Xenopus tropicalis: one gene and its partners. The main gene of each other region encodes a partner of the protein of the gene in region 6 in a complex. Links are inferred from orthologs where the notes say so. Each region holds a gene or a part of one and is shown on either strand. Other genes may lie near its edges.

Region 1 (3,664 bases), on a different chromosome or scaffold from region 6:
AGAATTTTTAAGGGTAAGACATTAGGGTGCTCACAGATTATAGATAAGGTTGGGAAGTAAATTCAGGTTAAATCTCCTTTTTTACTTTTAGTTAGACTATTTCTTAAAATAGATGCATAAGTTTCATCTTGCTGTATGGAAAGCTTTAGGAATCAAGTTAAAATACAATATATTTATTATTATTTAATACATAGGCACGAAGAAAACTGTGGAGGTACTCAATACCACCAGTAGATATGTTACTATCTGTGCTGATATTTCTGTATCTGTGTTAACAGAAATAAGAACAACATGGTCATTGCGGCTCCGCCAATGCTGCCCCCCCTCGCCCCCCAACACTTACCTTTACAGCACAGGAGAGTGTCCAGGGCATGCCGCATCGCAAGTGCAATCGCACTCTCTACACTAGCAAAGTTGAATTTCCGTTTTAAAAAACAGAAATTTGTCTCTTAAAGTTACCAGGAGCTGCTTCTTGCTGCCCCTGGTAACTTTGGGGGCGCTGCCACCTCATGGTAGCAGCGCCCCTGGGCTAATGGATCCTTTTAACAAACGATTGGCTCTCTGACAATGGCTCTCTGTTCCTTTGTTTACTTTCACATTTAACCCAACCCCTCAGGCATGCACAGTGAACGTTTAACGCCTTTCCTGTCAAGCACATATGTGATACGTGCTTGCAGAAAAAGCTCTAACTAGCAAGCACATATCACATATGCGCTACGCAGTTCAGGGTCCTTTCTCTGCACATTTGCCGCCAGCGCAGAAAGTCCAGTGTGCCACCAACCCCCTAGGCAACGAGCCAAGGTGGCTGGCAAGTCGGTCCTGCAACGAAATTGTCGCAGGGCCCAACTTCTAGCAGCAGACATGATCTCACTCGTGTCTGCTGTTAGACCTTATCCCCTCCAGCCTCCCTGAGCCTGCCCACATACATTCTCCCTGTGATCCTGGGACCCTCATTGCCGGAAAGGCCTTTTTACACATTTACACAAACATTCATGCATTTACATACATACACAATGGTGAAAAGTCAACTATTGGCACAATGTGGTTGGAACGATCATAAATTTTACAATCGTTTTGCACCCTTTCATTTTATTTGATTGTCCTGAAATGTCACACAACAAAATCTGCCTGTGTTTGGCCACCTTTAAAGTTGGACTGATCAATAGCAATTAGGATTCATAAAATAAGACACTATTTGTGCAGCCCTCTTGGTTGATTGACCCTGTAAAGGCCACCTATATGGTTTGTAAAAAATAGGATTGGCGTACAAACACTAGTCCAGCACATTTGCTTTGTGCAAAAAATTACAAGATCTCAAGGTCTTACCGCTATGAGTGTTCATGTTGCATTTCTATGAGCAGTTTATCTATAAATTCAAGATGATTTTTTTCTGCTTATCTCCCTAGTTTCAGCGGAGCAACTGCTGGAAGAGAATCAATGCATCTTGATGCTTTTTCAGCATGTCTTGAATGCCGGTGATCCTGATCCAAATCTTCTTAGTTTTTCCATGCGCCTTGTGGGAATGCTTGCAGGCCATGAAACAGGCTTTAAGTATCTGATGGTGAGCAAATCACATTAAACATGAAAGAAAGAATGCACAGTCATTTGTTTAAAAATGAATTTAAAAATGTTACTAATAGATATGGGGAAAATCCTGTGGTATTGGACTGGGCTACAACCAAATTGTAGGTCTGTTAATTTAAATTAAGTGTATAATCCAGTATGCCTTAGGATAAAATCTCAATCTCTGTGGGTGTTTGGTCCCTGTCTGTTCCCCAGGCCCATTAATATGCCCCCCCCCATTTTATCTGCCAGGTTACTGATTGTCTTGCCATCTGTTCTAGATGAAGAATATTGTGCAACGTATGTTTGGTAAATATATCTATACAAATGAGCTATGGAGAGATGCATCAGTAAGAAGGGCCTGGATCCAAGGACTGCTCAGCATGGTTCAGCATAAGCAGGCTGTTTTCTTTTTATCAGAATCGGGTGAGTGTAGATGACTTGTTTCACTTTAATTTTTTGAATGTGAAAGTACAGAGCATGACCACCTTTCTCACTGCCTTGCTAATTGTTTTTCCATGAATGTTATTATTCCCTCAGTCACTTCTCAGCCTTAAAGGAACAGTAACACCAAAAAGTGTTTTTTTATGCATGCTTTAACTATGTACTAGTAAAAAATTGTTTGCTTCAAAAACAATACTATAGTTTGTATAAATAAGCTACTGTGTAGCCATAGGGGCAACCATTCAAGATGAATAGGGCACATGGTTACCATCAGATAACAGATAATCACTGTGGAATAAAATTGTTTTTATATAAAATAGGGGTTAAATATTATCCATGGATCTCTACAGGACAACCTTTCTCATATAAAATAGACGAAATAGGTCAAAATAGTTTATTTCTAGGTGCTAGACAAACCAGTACAAACTTTAAATTTAAATACTTTTGCTTTTTAATGTTACTGGTTCTTTAAACCCCTCACTTTTCTTCCTGTCTACCCATGTCCCACTTTTTCTCTGTGTCCAAAACTTCTATCTCAATTTCTTAAGGTGGCCATAAACAGTAAGATCCACATGTTTGGCAAGGTCGCTAAACGAGCAGATCTTCACCTGATATACCCACCCAAGGTGGGCGATATCTGACTAATTAAATTGTTGAATAAAGATGGAATGTATTTGTATAAAAGCAAACCTGCCCCATCAATATCTGGCCAATTTTAGGCCAGATATTGATCAAGTAGGCCCACTGGGGGTGCCCATACATGGGCAGATAAGCTGCAGAATCGGCAGCTGAAATCTGCCCATGTATGGCCACCTTTACTTTGCACATTTGCTTTGATACTTTCCACTCCACCCCCAGCCCCATGTGGACTGCTAGCCAACAGGAGGCTCTCCTTGGAATAAAACTACTTCTTTATGCTTCTAAACTTGCCTTCAAGCCAGAAATCGAAAAAAAAAAATGGGTACCTACTTTGAGGCCACTGGGAGCAATCTCAAAGGGGGAGGTGAGCAACACATTGCTGATGAGCCACTGGTTGGGGATCACTGTCCTTATCTGTACATTCCATCGCATGATGGAATCTCCATGTATTTTGTGTTTTCTATTCCTCAAAATTCTTTTTCCTCAACAAGCACTCTCCACCTCATTATCTCCTTGGTTTTAACATCTTTGCCATTGGCCTTAGCCCAATTTCAGTGAGTAATGGTTTATGCATGTTCCTTTCTCAGCAATTATAGAGGTGATGTTAAATCTACAAATGGACTCCAGCCTTTTTGTTGCTTCTGCATCCAACCAACTTGTAGCTCACACGTTTCTAGTTTGTCTGAAGATGGAACAAGAAAACTCCGAAAGCAAAGAGATTCCTAATTGGCCAGAAAGTGCTCAAACAATATTAACATTCTTGGAGAAGTCACTGATGTCTGGGATTTCTTTTTCTGTAACTCAGGCAATCAAAGTTCTTACTTTATTTTATAAGGGTTGCACAGATACCTTGGCTGCTATTTTGTGGTCACGTATAGTAGTAGCAGTGAATTCTCTTCTGGACCAGAAAACAGTTCAAAGTGCTAAGCATCTTGAAGAACTTCTTCTTTGTGTGGCCAGGTAAATACTCAAGAATATTTCTGCATGCTTGATTATCAGTATGATTACAAATGTTTAA
Region 2 (3,664 bases), on a different chromosome or scaffold from region 6:
ATGGCTAGGGAATATAAATATCATCCAACAGTTAGGCAGGTTATATATATTGACATAAGAGGTTGAACTTGATAATCATGTGTCTTTTTTCAACCTTACTATGTTACTATGTATAAAAGATATAACTCTTAATAGCCCTGAGTACTGTTAGTCATTTGGAAAGTTCTCATGCAATATCTGTGTACTAGCAGAACTTGCCCTTCCACAATGACTTTTTGTTGTGTCTTCAGCTAGTGCATTCAGGCAGATTCTCAGCCTGCGAATAAGTACTGGCCAAGAATCTGCCCCTATGCTTTAAAAATCTGAAAGTTGTGCCTGCACCCGATAGCATTACGGCCCAGATGCGGGCAAATGCAGCTTATTTCAGCCTGAAACTGCATAGTTGAGCAGTTTTCAGCTAAAATATGCTGCATGAGCCTGTACTCGGATGGCAGCAATACTTCAGGATGCAGGCACAGCTTTCAGAATTTTAAAGAGGAGGGGCAGATTCTCGCCCAGTGCTTATTCTGTTACTTTTAACAGCTCACTTTCTATTTCCCAGTTTAATATATCAACCTCTGAACAGCTAAAATGACAGTCAACACAATATAAAACATACACACAAATTTTAAATATTTTGTCTACAGAATTGCCTTACCTTCCTGAAGCTGCTTTGGCGAATGACTTTTGGCAGAACTGGTTAATAGCATTCTCCTTAAAAGAGCATCTGTTCCAGTGATCTCCTCCTCACAGATCCAGTCATCCACAATACACAGATGAGGATAGTTAGTAGAAAGCAGACGCAGTAATGCAGAGTGCAAACCTAGAACATACAAAAAAAACTATATCCAATTACTGGCAACTAAATTGGTATTTCCTTAAAGGACATGTAGCAAGCCTACATTTTCTTACAATGTATATCAGTTAGGCAGATCTCCCCCATCCAAATGGCATCATTTGTACTGCATATATCCCCTTCATATACCAGCAACATCACATTTTCCTAAAGCAAATAGCAGCATTCACCCAGCAGCCATTCTTTCTCTGCACATAATTTAAACGTTACATTTAAATCTGCAAACAGCATACACACTAAGACCGTTATTCAGCATAAATTTCATCAAGGATCAAGGCTCACACAGGCAGAACTGTCTTTGATAAAAGTTTTTTTTTTTATCGAGCACTGTAATGGTTAAGCTAAGCTCAGGAGAGGAGGTTAGGAGCCGAGTTTCTATTGGAACCAGCAATGCAATCTCTACATTGGCTGCTAGACTAGAGGGTATGTTTAATAATCTTAGCTGAGAAAAACTGAGCATGCCCAGAAGCGAAAGCAAATTCCTGAGGGAGGGGGCTGAGTGGGTTACAGGAGGAGAAGGAAATCCGAAATCCAAGTGAATAAGGGAACACTACAGCCTTACTGTTAACCTCTAGACAACCAGTGTGGCAGGTATTAAAAGATTTCAAAGAGGCTGTTCACTGATTAAATTTTTGTGTGTGGAGGGGGGTGGGTTTACATGTCCTTTAGGGCTCTGGCTGCCGCGTGTGCCATCCCACCGGCGACTTACATTGTCGCCGGTGGGATGGCAACTCGGGGAGATTAGTCGCCCGCGAACAGGGAGATTTGTCGCGGGCGACTAATCTCCCTGTGTGCCAGAGCCCTTAAAGGACCAGTAACACCAACAAATGAAAGTGTATAACAGTAATTACAGTATGATGCACTATTGCACTGCACTGGTACAGCTGGTGTGTTTGCCTTAAAAAGACTACTATAGTTCATATAAACAAAGCTGCTGTGCAGCCATGGGGGCAGCCATTCAAAGGAAAAAAGACAGGTTACTTAGCAGATAACAGATAAAGCCCCATTATATTCTACAGAGCTTATCTGTTATCTGCTGTGCACCTTTTCTCCTTTTTTCCAGCTTGAATGGCTGCCCCCATAGCTACACCGCAGCTTATTTATATAAACTATTGTAGCCTTTTTGAGGCAAATACACAAGTTTTTGCCATTCTGAAAGCATTTAACCTCCTAAAGATGCCATTAGAGCTGCAGAGAGATCCTCTCTCTTCAGTGTCCAGGCTGAGGAAGTGGTCTTAATACTATCTGACAGGTGCCTACTACTTTGGTACCCCCAGTAATTATACAGCCGGGAAAATAAGTATTGAACATGTCAAGTTGAATATATTTCTAATGGGGCTATTGACATGCAATTTACACCAGATGTTGGTAACAACCAACAAGAAGTCTTTACATTAAGTTATGTGTGGAATGACACAGGGAATAAGTATTGAACACAAAGAAATGGAGGGGCAAAAAGGCATGGGAAAACCAAGAAAACTGCTGAAATCTGTCGGTATTTCACCCTAAACAGGCCATGACCAGGTGCTCCTTGCAAGATTTCTGACAGAGGAGTCAAAAAATAATCACAAGAGTTGAGCAAGAGCCAAAGATCACTCGCAGAGCGCTTCAGGAATAATCTTAAATTAGCAGGTACAGTTGTTTCAAAGAAAACAATAAGTAATGCACCCAACCAACATGGCCTCTATGCATGCTCACCGCTCACTGCTGAAGAAAAAGCATGTTGCTGCACAACATTTAGACAAGCCAATAAAACTGTGGGAGACTATAGTCTGGTCAGATGAGACCAAAATTGAACTATTTGGATGTCATTGCACACACCATGTTTGGATGAGAAATGGCACTGTACATCACCCCAAAAACACCATACCAACAGTGAAGGTTGGAGGTGGGAACATCATGGGGTGGGGCTTCAAGCATATGGTTCTGGCAGACTTCATATAACTGAAGGAAGGAGAAATGGAGAAATGTACCGGGACATTCTTGATAAAAATCTGCTGCCATCTACCAGGATGCTGAAGATGAAACAAGGGTGGACAATGATCCCAAACACACAGCAAAGAAAATTCTCAAATGATTTCAGACAACAAAAATAAAGCTGCTAGAATGGCCCAGTCAGTAACCCCACTTGAATCCAACTGAAAATTTACGGAAAAACCTGAAGATCAGAGTTCATACAAGAGGCTCCTGGGACCTTTTGATTTGAAGTTTGTGTGGAAGAATGGGCCAAAATCACACCTGAGCAATGCCTTGAAGCTGTTCTTACCAACAAAGGCTTTTCTACGACATATTAAGTGTAAGTGTGTTCAATACTTATTCCTTGTCATTCCACTTTAGTATACATAACTTAATTTATGGACTTATTTGTTTTTATTTCCTTGTATGTGTGGATTACTTGGGTTGTTACTGACATCTGGTGTAAATTTCATGTCAACGGCCCCATTAGAAATATATTTACTGAGAAAAACATTGACGTGTTAAATACTTATTGTCCCTGCTGTGTATTTTTTTTCTCCTTTATGGTGTGCGGTTCCTGTATAAATCAATCTTGTGTTATTGCTCCATGATCAGTCTCACTCTCTAAAAAATGCTTCTTGATTACAGACCTCTAATATATATAATTTCCAGCTATATAATTTGTGCATTTCCTTTTATCTTTTTACATTTATTGCCCACATGGTGTATCTATAATGTTGATGCATTAAATGAAGGACACTTTTTTCACCCGGTACCTTGCTGATTTTTTTTACATATCTGTTTTTACTATGTGCACCCAAGCATCACTTATATTGAAAAAGTAAGAGCACCTATATGTTATATGGTATGGTA
Region 3 (3,664 bases), on a different chromosome or scaffold from region 6:
AGCAACTGTGCGAGAACCTGGTGGGACTCTAAGGGGAGGAATAAAAAAGGAATTATTTACCATGTTGAGTTTAATGTACATTTAGTGGAAAAAGTAGGTCTACAAAAGTGGATCAGCATCTCAGCTTGGCACAATGAACTGGTTAATAGTACATCACATCATCACTATAATGAAAAAGATTTGCTGACAAACAAGCAGATCCCCTTTCCCAAATATTCCTACCTAAGGTGGGCGATATCAGGCTAATTTGGCCCTGAATGGATATAGGAACGGTTGAAGTGAGGACCGCATCAATGAGCCAACGCGGTCATCGATCCAACTTGAAAAAAAAAAAATCAAACCTGCCTGATCGACACCTGCTCAATTTTCGGCCGGATATCAGTTGTGTAGGGTTGTCCGGGGCCCCCATACACGGGCAGATAAGCTGCCTGAATGGGTCTAAAGGACTCAAAATGACAGCTTAAATCTGCCTGTGTATGGCCACCTTTACACTTTATCAAAAAAGATCCCCAATGGCCAGTCAAACAGGGCCAGAGTGATTGGGACACATTCACCAGATTAAAGGGCCACCTTACGCGTTTCGTACCCTAATGGTACTTAATCATAGGCCTATGACTGCCTGTGACTAAGTACCGTTAGGGTACCAAATGCGTAAGGCAGCGTGTTTTGGGGTTTGTATGCTTTTAATATGGATTTTCAAATAAAATGTGATTCTTCTTTTTGAACTTTCTTTTAATTTTTTGTAAAGTTTGGGATACGTTTGGTGAATTGTATGGCCACCTTTAGCCTATTACCATAACATATCACTCAACCAAGGCTGGATGGTTGCATGGACACCACTATCTTATCTACTACAATCCTATGGTGGGCGATATTGAGCTAATTCGATTGTTTGGTCCTATATGAAAATGGTGGGGATATAGGACATCGGACTAAGGACCGTATCAATGAACCGACACGGTCCATGATCCAACAAAAATAATTAAACCTGCCAATCGAGATCTGGCCAATTTTAGGCCAGATATTGGTTAGGTAAGACTGTTGGGGGTGCCCCTACACAGGCAGATAAGCTGCTGAATCGATCTGAAGAACCAGAATCAGCAGCTGAAATCTGCCCATGTATGGCCACCGTTAGATATAATTAGCATAGTACACCAAATCTCGTTTAACACAAACCTCCTCTGCTTCCTAATATAAAAGCAAGGTCCATTAAAACTAGCACAGTAACCTAGAAGTGAGTGACTGTTTTGCCTAAATACATCCTGCCTGTAGCAGAAGAGACACCCGTAGGCCTATAACTGTACAGATAATGAAATCCCTCAACAGCAGGAAAAGATATGGGTTAGGAAGGGAGACAAAATGCCTTACTTTCATTCTGAAGAGTATTTATCACATCGTCCACTATGGAGTCCGGGCAAAATCCAGCCGTCTTGGATAACAAGCCCAACAGGGAAGCGATCTTCAGCCTGACAGAGGTATCATTCTCCTTAAAAAGGAAATGAAGAGTTTAATGAAGAGAAACGGTTTTATGCAGAGGTATTAATTCATCACTGTGGGTACATCCTATTAAGGCCTCAAACAGTTCAAAACAGCTCTTCTCTTTCTGCATCATTTGAAATCCTGGCAGGGGAGGAGGGACTAAAACATTGATGTTACAAATTGTTACAACTTCTCCACAGCTTACAGACAGCATGCAGGAACTACATAACCCACAATGCACTGCACTGGGATGTTCCTTTCCTTATTGACATCACGTGTGCAGCAGGGAATTGTGGGATTGGGAGGATGCCAGCTGAAGGCAGGCCGAGGACAGGTGACTACTGTTACATTTTATTTAAGTCACAAAGTAGTCAGCCAGATCAGCAGGGGAACAGGGGGTGAGGCATATTATGACATTAAAAATCAGGAAAAGGCTGTATATTTTTATTTGATGTATATTGCAAAGTTGCTTGAAATTATGTTTTCTTTTCAAAAAGCTTGTGTTTGGGTGAAGTTCCCTTTATGGTTAGTGATTTGTCTCCCAGTATGAAGGCATGAAGTCGGAGCAATACAGACACAGCACCCATATTCCCCTACCTTATAATAATGTTCCAGGAGGATTCGCACAACTCCCTCCACACTCTCTGCTTCGACAGGCTTTCGGGCAAACTGCAACAGGTACTGCAGGGCGTCCGCTGGAGAAGTCGCCTTGCACAGGTCGATGTGAAGAGCTGCAGATTTGCTGGGTTTTGTCAAACGCAGCTTCTTGGCCGAGGGCTCCTCTAGCGGCTGCTGCTGCAAATCAAAATTGAATGGTACATGTATGGGATCCCTTATCCAGAAAGTTCCGAATTACGGAAAGGCCGTCTCCCATAGACTCCATTATAAGCAAATAATTCTAATTTTTGAAAAAGGTTTCCTTTTTTTCTGTAATAATAAAACAGTACCTGTACTTGATCCCAACTAAGATATAATTACCCCTTATTGGGGCAGAACAGCCCTATTGGGTTTATTTAATGGTTAAATGATTCCCTTTTCTCTGTAATAATAAAACAGTACCTGTACTTGATCCCAACTAAGATATAATTACCCCTTATTGGGGCAGAACAGTCCTATTGGGTTTATTTAATGGTTAAATGATTCCCTTTTCTCTGTAATAATAAAACAGTACCTGTACTTGATCCCAACTAAGATATAATTACCCCTTATTGGGGGCAGAACAGCCCTATTGGGTTTATTTAATGGTTAAATGATTCCCTTTTCTCTGTAATAATAAAACAGTACCTGTACTTGATCCCAACTAAGATAGAATTACCCCTTATTGGGGGCAGAGCAGCCCTATTGGGTTTATTTAATGGTTAAATGATTCCCTTTTCTCTGTAATAATAAAACAGTACCTGTACTTGATCCCAACAAAGATATAATTACCCCTTATTGGGGGCAGAACAGCCCTATTGGGTTTATTTAATGGTTAAATGATTCCCTTTTCTCTGTAATAATAAAACAGTACCTGTACTTGATCCCAACAAAGATATAATTACCCCTTATTGGGGGCAGAACAGCCCTATTGGGTTTATTTCTTTCATAGTTAAATGATTCCCTTTTCTCTGTAATAATAAAACAGTACCTGTACTTGATCCCAACTAAGATATAATTACCCCTTATTGGGACAGAACAGCCCTATTGGGTTTATTTAATGGTTAAATGATTCCCTTTTCTCTGTAATAATAAAACAGTACCTGTACTTGATCCCAACTAAGATATAATTACCCCTTATTGGGGGCAGAACAGCCCTATTGGGTTTATTTAATGGTTAAATGATTCCCTTTTCTCTGTAATAATAAAACAGTACCTGTACTTGATCCCAACTAAGATATAATTACCCCTTATTGGGGCAGAACAGCCCTATTGGGTTTATTTAATGGTTAAATGATTCCCTTTTCTCTGTAATAATAAAACAGTACCTGTACTTGATCCCAACTAAGATATAATTACCCCTTATTGGGGCAGAACAGCCCTATTGGGTTTATTTAATGGTTAAATGATTCCCTTTTCTCTGTAATAATAAAACAGTACCTGTACTTGATCCCAACTAAGATATAATTACCCCTTATTGGGGGCAGAACAATCCTATTGGGTTTATTTCATGTTTAAATGATTTTTAGCAGACGTAAGTTATGGAGAT
Region 4 (4,091 bases), on a different chromosome or scaffold from region 6:
CCCATGACGGTATTCCTTTAAGGACTGTTTATATCTAAATTACAGTCAACACATTTAAAAGAAGCTAAAAGCTGGAGTAAAGGTGAACTATCCCACTTGAAGATTGTATTTTTTTTTTTTTTTTTTTTTTTAAACAAAAACCTAAAAAAATTCTCAGGTCTACCAACCTCCCTGTCTAGTCCTCTATTTACTATCCACGGGACTGGGGAAAGCTACACAGGCAAATTAAACAACACATGGTTTGCTCAGCAGATGAAGAAAAATAAACAGCAGCTTAAAAATGTCTATGAGTGGTTTATAATGCTTACAAAGAAAAAAAGAATATGCTTTATCCATGGTGGCAGTGTAAACCCTTACATCTAAGTTTTAGCCAGTGAACAAGCACTTGCACTGATAAAAAACAGCACATATAACTATGACAAGATGGATAAACAACAGGAAAAATATATGTCCACATCAAATAGTGATCAGGATGCAGGCTGACAATCGTCTTGGCAAGACCCATATTGATCAAGCAACTGAGGCAGCACATCTATCATTAATAAAGAACAGAAATAAGAAACTTCCTAAGTCAAAAAGGCAGGCAATCATCTGGGTCAAGATCTGGACTCATGTCTATGAAGATTCATCCAGGTCATGATATACAGTATCTAGTAGAATTAAGTCTAAAACAACTGAAGAAGTCACTCGGATGAGTGGTGAAACGTTTTCAAGAAAAACTCAGAAAAGTCCAGTTGTTTTAGACTTAATTCTACTAGATATCTGGACTCTTCTATTCTAGAAACCCAGAGGCATGCCCACCCCCCTACTGATCATTTAGCCCTCTTACCCTAAAACTTCATTATGTTATTTATAAAGAAATAACATGAAGTGCAGCAGGGCATGGAACTGTAATTTATTTTAGACACCTAATCACACTATAAGGCCACAAGAAAACAAGTAATAGATTTTCAATGAGCAAGGACCGACTGGTCACCTAGACCAGCGTTTTTCAACTAGTGTGCCGCGAGATGTTGCCTGGTGTGCCGTAGGCAGGGCACCAATGTACTAGGGGGGCACTGCTCTTGGCACCAATGTACTAGGGGGGCACTGCTGCTGGGCACCAATGTACTAGGGGGGCACTGCTCTTGGCACCAATGTACTAGGGGGCACTGCTGCTGGGCACCAATGTACTAGGGGGGCACTGCTGCTGGGCACAGAGTTAAATTTTTTAACATTTTCTAATGGTGGTGTGCCTCGTGATTTTTTTCATGAAACAAGTGTGCCTTTGCCCAAAAAAGGTTGAAAAACACGGACCTAGACATAAAAAGCTGTATAATAAAAGTCCTGTTCAAATTAAACATGAAATCCAAATTCCTTTTTTTATTAAAGGAACAGTAACACCAAAAAATGAAAGTGTATAAAAGTAACTAAAATATAATGTGCTGCTGCCCTGCACTGGTAAAAGTTGTGTGTTTACTTCAGAAAGTCTACTAAAATGTATATAAATAAGCTGCTGTGTAGCCATGGAGGCAGCCATTCAAAGGAGAAAAGGCACAGGTTACATAGCAGATAACAGATAAAACACTATTGTATTCTACAGAACTTATCTGTTATCTGCTATGTAACTTGTGCCTTGTCTCCTTTTTTCCAGCTTGAATGGCTGCCCCCGTGGCTACACAGCAGCTTATTATATAAATTATAGTAGTGTTACTGTAGCAAACACACCAGTTTTACCAGTGCAGGGCAACAGTGCATTATATTTTTATTACTTTAAAGCTCTTTCATTTTTTGGTGTTACTGTTCCTTTAACACATCCATGGCCATTATAAAGACATTCAAAAATCCCAGCTGTCAATCATATATTGCTTGCCCCGCCTCTATGCCTTAGGCCTAGAGGCGGGGCAGACAATAACTTTAACTTTCCTTCAGCACTTCCTAGATGTCACTGCACTTCAGTGTATGGGTTTGAGCATCTGGTCCTCAATTTTATCACATAAACAAGATTTTGGCATGATACAAAGCTTGTCTAAATAACAGTGTCCACAAAATGGTGCCTGCCTGCTTGCTGGGATTGTGTAATTCCAAGACTGAAGGAAACAAGATTTAGATTATTTATATAGAGTAAGTGAAGTTTATTTTGCTCAACTAACATGGTAGAACTAAATTTGGAATTATTTGTTAAGGTGACAGGTCCCCTGTAACAGCAATGGGAGCAATGTCACACTTACACTGTGCAGCTGGAGGAATGCACACACATTTTGGGCCCAGTGCATACTACAAATTGTGGTGAAGACAAAGAATTTTGTGTGGAAGAGATAATTTAGTAGTTATTCTGTGCCCCCCCACCTCTGCACAAGGCACAAGCTAATTGCACACTACCAAAAGAAATGAGAGGAAACACTTGAATAGGAAAACGTGTCCTGGAAGAAAATCTAAGTAGAGCAATTTAGAAAAGATTACAATCCCTTCGTTAGCACACTGCTGACACATATCAGTTCTAACATTAACACTGCAAGCAGTAGGGCAGGGTAAGAATCCTCACGGGAACTGCCACATATAAATGTCGGCAACCCGCTTCTGCTGGCACATAAATAAACTAACTAAGCGGTACCAAGTAGCTCCTTATCTGCACTTACTAACATATCTTAGTAATACGAAAATATACCTGCCTATCCTGAACATCAGCATAAACATCATCCGCTCCCACAGGGATGCGCCATGCTGCTGCACGCTTATTGCGTCACGAGGTCACGTGCTAGTTCCAACCAATCCGCTAAATCACTGAGCCATGTCAGCGAAACAGAGTTAGCGTTCCATAGGGGGCGTGGCTTAGCGCAGGAAGAAGCCGGATCTTTAATCTCACAGCTTCAACATTTACTAAGAACTATTGGCGCATGTTTTACAGGAGCCTTGTCATTGGTGAGCAACCTGCGCTAGGCGTGGTGCAGAATGGCTTGCCAGTCGGCTATTTGGAAGGAGGTGGCTTGCGGTGAGTCCGGACTGACAGGTGAACGAAAGAGAGAAGGTAAGTACGAAACTGTAAGGATACAGGGCCCCACATTAAGTGCCGTGTATTCTAACCGGACTAGCCCATGACACCAAGGGAAAGAGAAATCATGGGGCTGCCATACTGATTTAGGGAAGCCCGCTCCACTGTTAAGGTAACAAGAATATTGATAAGTCTTTGGATTTGTACCATAAACCCGCCATAAATATTTTCTGCAATCGTGCCCCCTTTCCTTTTCCAAAATACTTGCACTACTCTAGCCCCGGCCTTGGGAGAGGGCAAAATAGGATAAAACTACTTTCTGGCCACCCCGATCACTGGGGCTGTAGTATCTAGAACGCAGATTAGTGTTGGTTCAGAGAGGTGCAGAGAAAAGGCAAGTATTTCAGAACCCGTAAGGAAAACCCTCCTCAGATGATCAGGTTTCTAAAGGTAATGGCACACACAATACTATTCAGCTGGCTGGAAAGAAAGTGTGACCAGTGGGTCCAGTTACTGGGATGACACATACACAGATTGCTTGGAAGGGCTTCAGCACACTTTCACATTCTCATGTCTCCCAACTTAATTGGAACCATGAGAAGTGATCATGAGGGATTTTCAGATGGATGAATAACCCTTCAAATGACATTCAGGTAAACCATCCATTTAAGTAAATAGACTTAATGTTTGCCAAGGAACAGCGGACATATTTTTGCTATTACTACATACTGTTGACAAATTGTGGTGCCCTGGCTAATGTAACATTATTCTTACAATAATTCCATGATTATACCAAATTGTGGCCCACTGCTTCCTATGGAACTGTGCAGATGAGAAGTGGTCATATCTGGTTATCATTTATGAAAGCTTCTGGCCCAAGTATGCTCTGTAAGGTACAGCCTGCTTAGTGTGGCTTGCAGCCTTTGGGCTCATGTGCCATGTGCAGTAGCAATCAATGCTTGACTCTCTAAAGAAAATTATCTTGGGCAAATGTGTTTTAAAAAAGAGGGCTCCTGGCCCAGGGTAAAAAAAGTTAGTGATTTTGTTGCATGGGGTCCCAACAAATTTGTTTCCTTAGTATTGTCTGGTAATGTCAGACTGTTTTCAGTCCAGATGAGGA
Region 5 (3,664 bases), on a different chromosome or scaffold from region 6:
TCAATTTCCTATGTGTCCTTACATCAACACATAATAATATATACCATTTCTTCTCCCCTGGCTCTGTTTTTCCTTTGTTACATCCCTGAATTAATTTGCCACTTCCGCAGAGTGGTTTCTCAATGTTTCATGTTTTCTTTGTGTAGGCAAAAATTGAATCTGACAGAGTGATAGGCTTGATAGGAAAGAAATTCCCGCAGGAAACGGGCATTAAAGTGCGGAGTGGTTCAAATGCCTTGTCACTGGCCCTGAGAAAAGATTTCAAGCAGCTGCTTCAGGAAATAACCGGGGAAGTGCCACAGCGGCCTATGGATCTCAATATGAAGGAGTTTGCTGGCTTCCAGATAGCCCTTTTGAATAAAGTATGTTATTCCACTGATCGCTTGTGCCCCTTGTGCTTACGTTTGATGTTCCCAGAAGCACTCACATTCTCTATTCTCCACAGGACATAAAGCCACAGACTTTCAGAAATGCCTATGACATCCCGCGAACAAATCTTCTGGATCATCTAACAAGAATGAGGGCAAATCTTCTTAAGTCAACTCGCCAGTTTCTTAAAGGGCAAGATGAAGGTGCAGTATTCTAATGGCCATTCATATCTGCCTATTTTGGTTAAATTCTAATGCAGACATTTTTTAGTATATGGTTGCAATAAGGAAATGATGGAGGAAAGCCATTTTCAGATTTTAAGAAATTGAAGATGTGATTGGAAGCAATAAATTGCAGGAATACAATGCAATGTTGATGCATAAGTTTGAGTTCCTTTTTATCATAAATCTCTGTCGACTTATTTGCATTTGTATCATGAAGAGGCATTTATTGTAGATAAGGCTTAAGCTGCTGCAGATGCATCACTTCTATCACCAATGTAAATTATATGAAATAATGCAAAATTTAATATGGTCCCCACAGATCAGGCACACAGCATTCCTATCGTCCAGATGGGAAATTACCAAGAATACCTAAAGCACATTCCATCACCCTTAAGAGAGATTGATTCTGACCAACCCCGGAGACTTCACACTTTTGGAAATCCATTTAAATTAGACAAAAAGGTAATTGAAGGCTTTGCATGCAAAGAAAACATGTAACAGAGATTTATTTTTTCTAAGCTATTATTTTAGATAAGAATGTCCAAGCAACTTTAGGTGTCCCTGTAAAGTCTTTCCTTTTCTTTCTTTCTCTTTCTCTTTCTATTGCTCTTTTCTTTGTTTCTTTCTCTTTCATTCTTTCTTTCACTTTCTCTCTTGCTATTTTTTTTTTCATTCTTCCATGACATATAAAAGTAACACTTGCTGTTGCAATCACGAGATAGCTATGTTAATATCACAAGTAAGTGTTGCAGGAAAGAAGAGAACCACATGCATAAAGGCCAACTGTAAATTTCCCTTGAATGTTGGCATATGATCAACTGTTATTTCGTTTCAGGGGATGATGATTGATGAAGCTGATGAGTTTGTGTCAGGGAACCAGAATAAACAGAAACGCACAGGAGAACCAAACATGCAAGGAGTCCCAAAGAGGAGGCGGTGTATGTCGCCATTGTTGCGCTCCAGACCACAGTCTCCATCAGTGATAAACAACCACATAGGAGGGAAAGATCAGGTGCCACCTGATCTGCCAAAACCTGTAGCTGTACATAAAAGTAAGTATGATGATTACTTTGTTAAATGTATATGCCATTTGGATTATTGGAAAGCATAAGTAACTTGATAATATGTGTGTTTTTTTATGTTGCAAAATGGTCCAAAAAAGGGCTTGCATATCGGCTCTTCATGCATGGCGCACTGCACATGCATGAGCACAGCAATGCTACTTCAAACTTAGCATAGAATCAGGCAGAAAGCAGACCTGTAGGGGGCACTTTGTTACTGATTGTGGTTGCTTGATTGACACAACCCAGATAAAGCACTTGATCTTTTTAAAAGCTATGTACTGATTAGCTGCTATAGGTTTACTAGAGCAGGCCAAACTTTGGCCATTTGGTTATATATTTCAGTTTAAGGGCTCTGGTACACGGGGAGATTAGTCGCCCGCGGCAAAACTCCCTGCTCGCGGGCGACTAATCTCCCCGAGTTGCCTTCCCCCTGCCATCCCACCGGCGAACATGTAAGTCGCCGGCGGGATGGCAGACGCGGCGGCGCGATTCTGCGCAAATCGCCGAAAAAGACTCGTGAGGCTTTTTCGGCGATTTCCCGAAATCGCCCTGCCGTGTCTGCCATCCCGCCGGCGACTTACATGTTCGCCGGTGGGATGGCAGGGGGAAGGCAACTCGGGGAGATTAGTCGCCCGCGAGCAGGGAGTTTTGCCGCGGGCGACTAATCTCCCCGTGTACCAGAGCCCTAAAAGTTAATCTTTTGTTAACATACTGGGTTTTCTTATGCTTTTTTCTCTTTAAATAACATTGATTTTGGGTAGTTTCTTCCTTCAGTTGGTTTAAATTTTTAATTGTGTAAATCCATGTTTATATCCTGTCCTGCCAACAGGTAATTTGTTTTACACTGACCATAGCAGTTCATATATTTGTTTGCGGTCCGTGTCAAAAATGTATGTTGATTAAATCCTTTGTTAATTATAGATTCTGATCCGAGCAACAATGTTGCAATGAATGAAGCTACAGAAAATCATGTTGCGGACCATCTTCGTGATGACTTAGTGACTACTAAATCAGAGCCATTTGAAACACTGTCCGATGCTGCCGTAGAAGCAACTGAAGCTTATGCAGCAGCGAGGGACTGTAACTTTACGCCAAACGACACTAGCGATGTGTTTCTTGAAAAAACAAAAGACTCTGGTGATACTCCAAGCTGCTTACAAAACAACACTGCTGCATTTGCACACAGAAAAAGGAGGTTGCAACAATGCAGGAGCTATGAAGAGGCCAACATAGAGCTCAAAGCACAAATACTAAGAGAAATTCGCAAGCCAGGCAGAAGTAAGTATTATACTGTCTGTCCTGTCATGGAAACAAAATCATATCTGCTAAATACTATAACTATATATTTCTGTTTTTAGAATATGGAATCATTTTCACTTTGCTCAAAGATGTTCAAGGTGACCTACAGACGCGCCTTCTTTTTCTGCAGAATGTCATCAAAGAGGCAGCCAGGTAAGAAGTGCCACGCTACACGTTTTGTACCTTTGCTGCTTCTTTTAAAGTGCAGAGGACCATTGCAGCTGGATGGGAAGAGTCACAAGAAATAAACACTGCTATTTTTCAGTAGAAAAATACTTATTGGTCTGAGCTACTTATTGTGCCATCCCATGGTGTGGGGAAGCCACCCTCTGAACATATCTGAAATTTTTCTGGACACATATTTTGATTGTCACTACTTTGCAGCCTTTTTCATGTAATTCCATTTTTTATTTTGCCTTTTTTTTTATTGGTGATTGCTTTGCCCATTTTGAGCTCCTTGTTTGTACAGGAGCTTCCCAAAAATCCCGGAAAGGGCTGCATAGTAAGACTAATTGATTCTTCAAACCCCTGGACACAAGTGCAACAGCACTAAGGGGAGCAAGAATTTCTTAGTGCTCGTTTTAAGAGCATTTGCTGCTCTTGTCAGGGAACGTGGGATCAAAAATATTCTCCCTGAAAACATTTTATAGTTTATGTAATGACACCACCCTTTCAACTACTCCTTCTTAGTAAATATGTCCTGAGACA
Region 6 (4,203 bases):
TAGAAGCTAAAACAACAAATGGAGAGCTGCTGGACAAAAAGCTAAATAACTACCCCTTTAAAGGATATGAGAATATAGGAACACAGAAAAGCTGTTTATATACTGTACTCACAGCACCAGCCCAGAGGGGCAGCAGCCCTATACCAGTAACGATCCAGGCCTTCACAGTTGCCCCCAGCAATTTCCCATTTTGGATCTTGTTAGGCGATCTGTTGTGTGTCTGTGGCACTGCACATGCTCAGTGGGCTCTGGGCTGCTGCTGGGATGCTAAAATGATCTTGTTTCTATTCTATGCAAATGGGATGGTTCCCCTTTAAATTTACTGTGTCCTATTCCTAGTATCGTTGCAATTGGTCTTCATTATAGTTTTAAAACTATTTGCCTTCCACTTCTAAATTTTTCCAGCTTTCAAATGTGGGTCACTGACCCCAGCAGCCACAAACTATTGCTGTGTACACTTACAAATATATTAACAGTTACTTTGTATTACTTATCTTACTATTCAGCCCCTCTCCTATTCATATTCCAGTCTTTCATTTACCCACTGCCTGGTTGCTAAGGTAAACAAAACCCTAGCAACCAGAAAGCTACTAAAATTTCAAACTAAATAACTGAAAAATCACAAAAAAATAAACAATGAAAAACAATTACGAATTGCCTCAGAATATCAATGTCTACCTCATATTAAAGATGATTTAAAAGTGTTCCCTTTGTTGTTCCATTTTCCATCTCCTCTGTATAGGCCCAGGGGGCAAATTAATCATACATATATATCAATATAATATATAGTTTGGTCATTTCCCTATGGGCCCAAACTGTAAATTATATCCTTATAAACGGTGCTTAGTGATGTCATCAGATATAATCAGAGCTTAGTGATGTCATTTCTGTCACATGACTCACTGAATCTTGTATATTATAATAAATAAAGTACCCCCTTTTGTAATATATTAGAAGTCAACTTGGAGTATATGGTCATGGAACTCCTCTGTGACATAATATCCCTATATTTTACAATAGGGGGTACTTTATTCACTATATATTATAAGGAACTCCTCGGGGGCTTATAATATCCCTATATGTTACAATAGGGGGCACTTTATTCACTATATATTATAAGGAACTCCTCTGGGACTTATAATATCCCTATATGTTACAATAGGGGGCACTTTATTCACTATATATTATAAGGAACTCCTCTGGGACTTATAATATCCCTATATGTTACAATAGGGGGCACTTTATTCACTATATATTATAAGGAACTCCTCTGGGACTTATAATATCCCTATATGTTACAATAGGGGGCACTTTATTCACTATATATTATAAGGAACTCCTCTGGGACTTATAATATCCCTATATGTTACAATAGGGGGCACTTTATTCACTATATATTATAAGGAACTCCTCTGGGACTTATAATATCCCTATATGTTACAATAGGGGGCACTTTATTCACTATATATTATAAGGAATTCCTCGGGGACTTATAATATCCCTATATGTTACAATAGGGGGCACTTTATTCACTATATATTATAAGGAACTCCTCGGGGGCTTATAATATCCCTATATGTTACAATAGGGGGCACTTTATTCACTATATATTATAAGGAACTCCTCGGGGGCTTATAATATCCCTATATGTTACAATAGGGGGCACTTTATTCACTATATATTATAAGGAACCCCTCGGGGGCTTATAATATCCCTATATGTTACAATAGGGGGTACTTTATTCACTATATATTATAAGGAACTCCTCGGGGACTTATAATATCCCTATATGTTACAATAGGGGGCACTTTATTCACTATATATTATAAGGAACTCCTCGGGGGCTTATAATATCCCTATATGTTACAATAGGGGGCACTTTATTCACTATATATTATAAGGAACTCCTCGGGGGCTTATAATATCCCTATATGTTACAATAGGGGGCACTTTATTCACTATATATTATAAGGAACTCCTCGGGAACTTATAATATCCCTATATGTTACAATAGGGGGCACTTTATTCACTATATATTATAAGGAACTCCTCTGTGACTTATAATATCCCTATATGTTACAATAGGGGGCACTTTATTCACTATATATTATAAGGAACTCCTCGGGGGCTTATAATATCCCTATATGTTACAATAGGGGGTACTTTATTCACTATATATTATAAGGAACTCCTCGGGGGCTTATAATATCCCTATATGTTACAATAGGGGGTACTTTATTCACTATATATTATAAGGAACTCCTCTGTGACTTATAATATCCCTATATGTTACAATAGGGGGCACTTTATTCACTATATATTATAAGGAACCCCTCGGGGGCTTATAATATCCCTATATGTTACAATAGGGGGTACTTTATTCACTATATAACAGGATGTGGACCCCTTAGCAACAAACACATGTGCATTAGCCCATAGCAACCAATCAGCTTTGATCAATTTAGAGCAGGTCAGACTCATGGAAGTAGATTGGCTGCTATGGGTTACTGCACTTTTGCACCACTCTTACTAAATACCCTGTCAGAGGGTAAACTGACATCTATGTACATCTGATGGCCATATTTAAGTGAGGGTAGGGACTTTGTCAGGGAAGGGACTAGAGAGGACCTGGAGCCCACACACATAAAACAGAGGAATGGGCACATTTAGGACCTGCTATTTACTCGCAGAACTACAACACTGTTGGGGGATGCTGGGAGCTGTAGTTCAGGCAAAGGTTGGAAAGGCGCCATTTGGGAAGCACATTGCGGATACAGACACGCCAGGGCATATCATATCTATAAAGGCATGAGAGAAAATATAAGAACCCAAAACCATGAATCTCACCAGCTTCATCTTTGCCTTGTCCCCGGCCTCACCGCCGAGCGCCCCTTTTTCTGGTGACGCGATGGTTTCTGGGACTTGTAGTCTCTCCGGCCCATAACTCGCTGCGTCAGTGTGACGTACGCTCAGCCAGGCGGGATAGGGCGGTAAGAGAGAGACTGGCGCTCGGCATGCCGGGTAGTGTAGTTTTCCTGCTTTCGCCTTCCGCTCGCTCCCCGGGGAGAGTCTGGCTGCGCCGAAAACTACAACTCCCAGACTCCCGCGCAAACATTCGGCTGGGAGCTGCGCGCTGCTGAGTGCCAACATGGCGGCGGGGTGGCAGACAAAGACGGGTCGGGTTCCGATGTGAGTCCCGGAGGCGGGTGGGGGAAAGTGAGCGCGTCGGGCACCGAGGGCTGCTACTGGCACTCCGACTGGCATAGGACTGGCATACATTCTCTTTCTGCCCGCTGGCTGCGGGCTCGGCAACCGGACTCATGTTGTGTGGGAGAGAGTGAGCGCTGCTCGGCACTCAGGTAAGGTACTGGCACCCCCTGCTCTCCAGCAACTCCTGCACTCTGCCCCGCTGCACTCTACTCTCTCTGTCTCACTCTCTTACTGCACTCTCTCACTGTGCCACACACTGCCTGACTGTCTCTTACTACACTCTCTCACTGTGCCACACACTGCCTGACTGTCTCTTACTGCACTCTCTCACTGTGCCACACACTGCCTGACTGTCTCTTACTGCACTCTCTCACTGTGCCACACACTGCCTGACTGTCTCTCACTGCACTCTCTCACTGTGCCACACACTGCCTGGCTGTCTCTCACTGCACTCTCTCACTGTGCCACACACTGCCTGGCTGTCTCTTACTGCACTCTCTCACTGTGCCACACACTGCCTGGCTGTCTCTTACTGCACTCTCTCACTGTGCCACACACTGCCTGACTGTCTCTTACTGCACTCTCTCACTGTGCCACACACTGCCTGACTGTCTCTTACTGCACTCTCACTGTGCCACACACTGCCTGACTGTCTCTCACTGCACTCTCTCACTGTGCCACACACTGCCTGACTGTCTCTTACTGCACTCTCTCACTGTGCCACACACTGCCTGGCACCCTTGCCTCTCTTTCTCACTCTGACTGGCACCTACAGCACTCACTCACTGCTCTCTCACCCTGACTGGCACCTACAGCACTCTCACTCTGACTGGCACCTACAGCACTCTCGCTTGCTGCTCTCTCACTCTGACTGGCACCTACAGCACTCTCACTCACTCACTGCTCTCTCACTCTGACTGGCACCTACAGCACTCTCGCTTGCTGCTCTCTCACTCTGACTGGCACCTACAGCACTCTCACTCACTCACTGCT
Region 7 (4,197 bases), on a different chromosome or scaffold from region 6:
CACAGACGAACACAAAGTTTTTGAGTTTGTCTTTTTACCTTATCAGCAGATCTCTTCTCAGCCTCCTTCTTTAACTTCTCTGAAGTCAGTGGTTTGCTTAGCATACTGCTTGATGGAGTGCTGCTAGAGGCCTTTGTTTCAGGCTTAACTTTAGATAACATTGCTTTGGGCTGCTCCATTTCCTTAAACAGAAACACATTACTTTAAGAAAAGCAGCAAAAGATTCACATACATACTTTTCTTAGGTATATTTTTCAGATACACATTAAGTGTGGAACAATATTCTTTACGACTTAATCATCCTGCAGAAATTATAAACTAAAGATTAATTTTCATTACTTTAAAAATAACTTAATTCAAAAAGAGGGCAAGCAAGAAAGAGATATGCTATATGTTTTCATATGTCAAGCTTTCATACTCCATATGCTGACTGGTTATTGCCAACAATATTATTGTTGGATTATGACAAGCCTCCTGGAACTATATCAAAAACACAGGTGGCAAACTTTGGAATTTTGGTATAGATTACTGCAATGGTGCAAAGCTGCACCTATGTTTGTACGTTTACCCAAATTTAGATGCAAGGTGTTTGAGTCTATACTTTAACCTCAACAACAGTTCTTCCGGGTTATTACCGAGAACCTTAAAAATGGGAGGGTTATGTAATTCTTCTACAGCAATACATACTTCCTTGCACAAATGTTTTAATGTTGCTTATTTTTTAGTCAGGGAGCACAATTCAACACATATCTTATTTGCTATGCAAACTACAAAGTACAATTTTGCTGAGTGGGATAGAACCATTTGCAAATTACTCCATTCCCCAATAAACACATTGAGGGGTGGGGTGTTGGCATTTCTTTTCCTTTGAAGCAAATTTTACCTACATAAACTGTCACAACATTTAGAGAACTATATACAATACGCTATTACAAGCAAATGTATTCTTGTTTTTAAAATATTAAATAATTATTAATTATTAAACCTTCGGTTGAGGACGGTAGACAGAGTCGTTGCCTTTGCACAGTGACTCATCTAGCAATGCCTTCAGTTTTTCAGCAGAGTCCTTGCTCTTTGAGTGGAGGTATCCAAGTGCCTTCAAAAAGACAGGATCCAACTCAGTATTTATAGTGACTGCCATGGTTATAACCTGCAATGAAAATAAGGCTATTTACAAAAAAAAATAAATGTATCAATTATTTGTTCTTTTATGGTAAAATGTTAGAACAGCAATAAACATACCTTGAAAAGTAAATAGTGTTTATATTATCCAACTCATCAGAGATACGAGAGACATTTAATCCTTGAACATGGCTCTAAATAATAGTAGAAACGATCATCTTAATTCAGGTAATGGTGACTGCTCATGGGAGATTAGTCGCCCGCAACCTCGGCTCCAGGGGCGACTAATCTCCACCGAAATGCCTTTCCACCGCCAATAAAGTGAATCACTGGCGGGAAGGCATACGTGATGAAGTCATGCGAAGTTGCCTGCAGGAGGAAACTTTGCGCAAGTTCGAAAATTAAGCAACAGGTATGCCTTTCCACTGGTGATTCACTTTATTTCCAAAGATGTAACCAGGGGTGACAAAGTGAAATGCAAGCTAAAATAAAATAGTTATGGAAGTTACCTACTCTACCTTATTTAGGGCTCTGACGTGGAGCTACTTGTAGCAAGCTACAAAACACCAGAAAATACCCTGCCATAGACAATACCGAAAACTATCTCTGCTAAAACACACACAGAGACAATTTTCAGTGTTGTCTATTTTGTAACAGCGACAATAACACAATTAATTGCAACAACAGGCACAAACCCTATTAAATGAACTAATGCTGGAAAAAAGAGGGTATCACAAATACAATATGAATGCTTGGTTCACTATATACTTGTGCCTTATGGTCTTTTGAAAATGTAAAGCTAACACAAAAAATGAAGACCAGCAGAAAAACATCACATTATATTTATTGAAAAGGCAAACTTCCCCTCAAATGCTTGGAATCAGGATGAAATAAGGACAGGAAAAAAAGAAATTTTTCATGAAACTGCTTACCAGTCAATGGCCCAGTTACTCTACAGTTACAATATCTACAGTATCTGGGTTTCACAGTAGTATGTACAACATAACACGTTATATATAAACATTATGTAACATGAAAAGAGTTGAGTGGGGCAAAAACTGTCATGCAATTTGCTTTACCCAGTCTACTTCCTCTTTACTTGTCTATCAACATTGTGACACGCAAAGTTTAGCCCAGGTTTACTAGCCCATATTATTTTTAAACATATCACCAGCAACGTTGGCCCCCCCTTTGGGATGCTAAGGGTTACTACGCCAGCGGCAAACTGCATCTTTTAATTCATTCCCCCATGTTAGAGTGTGGGGCCAGGCCAGTAGAGTATATTCTTAACACCAATGATGCTCAGGCTGCTTCAGTCTGGGAACTATAGAAGCCACAGGTTAGAAGATTCTCCTGCCTTATACTGTACAGCGATACTGCCATCACTACTTACTTCAGCAGACAAAGCCCTAATAGAACTGCTTACAATGGAAATATTCAAAATCCCGTGCTTTGGTTTAGGATTCTATTCGCACTGCGCCGCTACTTCCGGGTGTGGGAGGTCCCTCAGCAATACTGCTCCCCGCAGCCAGCGCTCAAGCGTTCCTGTTCGTAACGGAACAGTAAAAGATTTTCCTTCTGGCTGTGTTCGGGAGCGACTCTCCGTTGCACTTTGGGTTTTTAACTTTTTTTTACCCCGACCTTAATAATAATAATAATAAAAAAAAAATCAGTCACCATCAGGCACGAGAGAACAGCAGGATAAAGGTACCCGGTGTGGGGGGTTGCACAGTTGCTATGGGTCCTTCCCTAGGTCACTGCACATGGGAGCTTGAAACATTCTCCATCTGGGTTCTACTGCGCAACTTGCTCTTACTTTGCCCGGCCTCAGGTTCGGTTCTTCTTGCGTTAAATTCCCAACAGCCTTTACAGTGTACTGCCATAAAGGAATTCGGGGAGGTGTAGTACTTAATAAGTTGGGCTTTGTGTTAGTTCTAGTTTAGCCCACAATGGTGTTTTGCCTCTGTGTTACATCTGTGGCAATTAATATAGGACTAACAGAACCGCTGAGAGTGACAGGTGTACTCACTTACAGTAAGCATTTTATATGAAGTAACTTAGACAGGGCTTTCAAGTACTGTCTGCAAAGGTGTTTTTATGTTTGTTTCCTCCTGCACCCCAAAAACATACAAACAGGATAACTGGTGTATGAAAAAATGTTTTAGTAAGCTTAATGACTTAAAGTGGCCTTACACATTTTCCTGATATGGTCGGACTGGGGGGAGCAGGGAGCAGGGCCCACCGGGGCTACTGCTTCAGGAGCCCATGCACCTGCCTTCACACCATCCCCGCAGGGGCCCCCACCACCTGTCCAACCCCCTCCCCCGATCGTGCATAAGTGACACTTACCTTCAGTGCGTCAAGGGATGGAGACCTATGGACCTACAGGAGTGGTGTGCGGGGATCGGGTTCGGGCCACTGGGGCCCACCAGGTTTTTCCCAGTGCCCCGGCGGCCCAGTCTGACACTGGCCATTTTGTGTTGACTGAAATGGCCCCTAGTACATGCAGTTGACAGGAAAGCATAACTGAGCCTATGCAGTACTTGCTACAATGAGATTTTTAAACCTGCCCAATAGATATCTGGACTTGGATTTTTAGCCAGGTTATCTATTGGGGAGGAAGTTGGAGAGGTCACATACACAGGTAGATAAGCGGCTAACTTTCTTCTGAAGGGGCCAGAGCAGCAGTGTAAACGTGAAATATTGTGTGAAAAAAATATTGTGCAAATGAATTGTAGAAGGAATTTCCTTTAAAAAGTTGTGTTTCAGGCTGATTTTTTTAAATTTTCTCCAAATACCCCACTAATCTAGCCCATCTGTCCCACTTTCTACTGCCTTCTTTCCTAGGCTATGCAGGGGAACCGGCTGCACTGTAGGATAGAAACCAATCGGCAGCTAGGCTGACCTGATAGGGAACTGAAGCCTGTCTTTGCTTGTGTGACAGCAGGGCTGTGATTGGCTATCCCCCTCCTACTGTGCTTCTGGCAGGCATTGTTAGGATGTGCCCACCCCTCATTTGAAATACAACAGGGACTTAAGAGGATCTATAGGGAGCTCCAATAAAGGGTCCATTTT

What was found.
Region 1: the proteins of ints9 (region 6) and brat1 are in contact, whole or in part, in a cryo-EM structure (PDB 8UIB), measured with the Homo sapiens proteins. The link is inferred for Xenopus tropicalis from reciprocal best matches to the Homo sapiens genes INTS9 and BRAT1. Residues at the interface, in NP_060720.2 of Homo sapiens: Gly276, Met277, Gly279, Glu280, Cys282, Ser283, Asn284, Ala286, Leu287, Arg290, Asn291, Tyr315, Asp317, Ser318, Ala319, Gly320, Ser483, His484; in NP_689956.2 of Homo sapiens: Ala406, Pro407, Cys416, Pro460, Gln506, Lys507, Arg508, Cys510, His511, Pro512, Arg517, Glu545, Leu549, Gln552, Asp556, Pro557.
Region 2: ints9 (region 6) and ints2 share a complex: the UniProt entries of both Homo sapiens proteins name them as parts of the integrator complex. The link is inferred for Xenopus tropicalis from reciprocal best matches to the Homo sapiens genes INTS9 and INTS2.
Region 3: the proteins of ints9 (region 6) and ints4 are in contact, whole or in part, in a cryo-EM structure (PDB 8RC4), measured with the Homo sapiens proteins. The link is inferred for Xenopus tropicalis from reciprocal best matches to the Homo sapiens genes INTS9 and INTS4. Residues at the interface, in NP_060720.2 of Homo sapiens: Lys2, Tyr4, Lys18, Ser21, Thr22, Leu43, Val44, Gln45, Glu87, Glu89, Leu90, Asp92, Asp97, Thr122, Glu145, Arg146, Val147, Pro148, Lys159, Glu174, Ser176, Thr177, Ser192, Gln195, Phe206, Gly207, Ile379, His380, Ser384, Asn385; in NP_291025.3 of Homo sapiens: Leu53, Gln54, Leu57, Gln58, Arg61, Lys62, Pro86, Ser87, Leu90, Lys91, Ser94, Gln125, Gln129, Asp132, His164, Gln207, Asp208, Pro209, Arg210, Arg212, Asp244, Tyr245, Glu246, Gln247, Trp296, Phe837, Gly840, Leu841, Val842, Val843.
Region 4: the proteins of ints9 (region 6) and ints11 are in contact, whole or in part, in a cryo-EM structure (PDB 8RC4), measured with the Homo sapiens proteins. The link is inferred for Xenopus tropicalis from reciprocal best matches to the Homo sapiens genes INTS9 and INTS11. Residues at the interface, in NP_060720.2 of Homo sapiens: Glu127, Gly198, Tyr199, Ser200, Gln201, Lys202, Tyr231, Glu338, Phe339, Ile342, Phe343, Glu345, Gln352, Lys354, Val355, Tyr356, Leu357, Pro358, Glu359, Pro360, Pro361, Arg511, Arg512, Tyr513, Glu514, Lys515, Ile516, Glu517, Ile518, Met519; in NP_060341.2 of Homo sapiens: His94, Gln97, Ala98, His137, Leu138, His139, Gln140, Thr141, Lys274, His277, Tyr278, Lys280, Leu281, Phe282, Ile283, Pro284, Trp285, Arg291, Phe294, Ser449, Pro450, Ser451, Ile452, Pro453, Val454, Gly455, Ile456, Ser457, Leu458, Leu461.
Region 5: ints9 (region 6) and ints6 share a complex: the UniProt entries of both Homo sapiens proteins name them as parts of the integrator complex. The link is inferred for Xenopus tropicalis from reciprocal best matches to the Homo sapiens genes INTS9 and INTS6.
Region 7: ints9 (region 6) and ints12 share a complex: the UniProt entries of both Homo sapiens proteins name them as parts of the integrator complex. The link is inferred for Xenopus tropicalis from reciprocal best matches to the Homo sapiens genes INTS9 and INTS12.

Annotation. Positions count from the first base shown.
Region 1 is NC_030685.2:31,742,819-31,746,482, forward strand, and holds part of brat1 (BRCA1-associated ATM activator 1), read left to right. Parts: intron 1-1,406; coding exon 1,407-1,561; intron 1,562-1,844; coding exon 1,845-1,989; intron 1,990-3,233; coding exon 3,234-3,606; intron 3,607-3,664. UniProt on the Homo sapiens protein: Component of a multiprotein complex required for the assembly of the RNA endonuclease module of the integrator complex.
Region 2 is NC_030678.2:91,803,622-91,807,285, reverse strand, and holds part of ints2 (integrator complex subunit 2), read right to left. Parts: intron 803-3,664; coding exon 638-802; intron 1-637. UniProt on the Homo sapiens protein: Component of the integrator complex, a multiprotein complex that terminates RNA polymerase II (Pol II) transcription in the promoter-proximal region of genes.
Region 3 is NC_030678.2:168,920,437-168,924,100, forward strand, and holds part of ints4 (integrator complex subunit 4), read right to left. Parts: intron 2,275-3,664; coding exon 2,077-2,274; intron 1,487-2,076; coding exon 1,369-1,486; intron 29-1,368; coding exon 1-28. UniProt on the Homo sapiens protein: Component of the integrator complex, a multiprotein complex that terminates RNA polymerase II (Pol II) transcription in the promoter-proximal region of genes.
Region 4 is NC_030683.2:93,135,134-93,139,224, reverse strand, and holds the start of ints11 (integrator complex subunit 11), read right to left. Parts: upstream 2,806-4,091; 5' UTR 2,652-2,805; exon of another isoform or gene 2,648-2,651; intron 1-2,647.
Region 5 is NC_030678.2:149,888,545-149,892,208, reverse strand, and holds part of ints6 (integrator complex subunit 6), read left to right. Parts: intron 1-146; coding exon 147-362; intron 363-445; coding exon 446-572; intron 573-912; coding exon 913-1,055; intron 1,056-1,428; coding exon 1,429-1,645; intron 1,646-2,578; coding exon 2,579-2,935; intron 2,936-3,015; coding exon 3,016-3,109; intron 3,110-3,664. UniProt on the Homo sapiens protein: Component of the integrator complex, a multiprotein complex that terminates RNA polymerase II (Pol II) transcription in the promoter-proximal region of genes.
Region 6 is NC_030681.2:151,882,537-151,886,739, reverse strand, and holds the start of ints9 (integrator complex subunit 9), read right to left. Parts: upstream 2,874-4,203; 5' UTR 2,857-2,873; coding exon 2,848-2,856; intron 1-2,847. UniProt on the Homo sapiens protein: Component of the integrator complex, a multiprotein complex that terminates RNA polymerase II (Pol II) transcription in the promoter-proximal region of genes.
Region 7 is NC_030677.2:72,494,165-72,498,361, reverse strand, and holds the start of ints12 (integrator complex subunit 12), read right to left. Parts: upstream 2,886-4,197; 5' UTR 2,803-2,885; coding exon 2,800-2,802; exon of another isoform or gene 2,718-2,799; intron 2,609-2,717; exon of another isoform or gene 2,516-2,608; intron 2,462-2,515; exon of another isoform or gene 2,441-2,461; intron 1,317-2,440; exon of another isoform or gene 1,243-1,316; intron 1,168-1,242; exon of another isoform or gene 1,151-1,167; coding exon 986-1,150; intron 183-985; coding exon 39-182; intron 1-38. UniProt on the Homo sapiens protein: Component of the integrator complex, a multiprotein complex that terminates RNA polymerase II (Pol II) transcription in the promoter-proximal region of genes.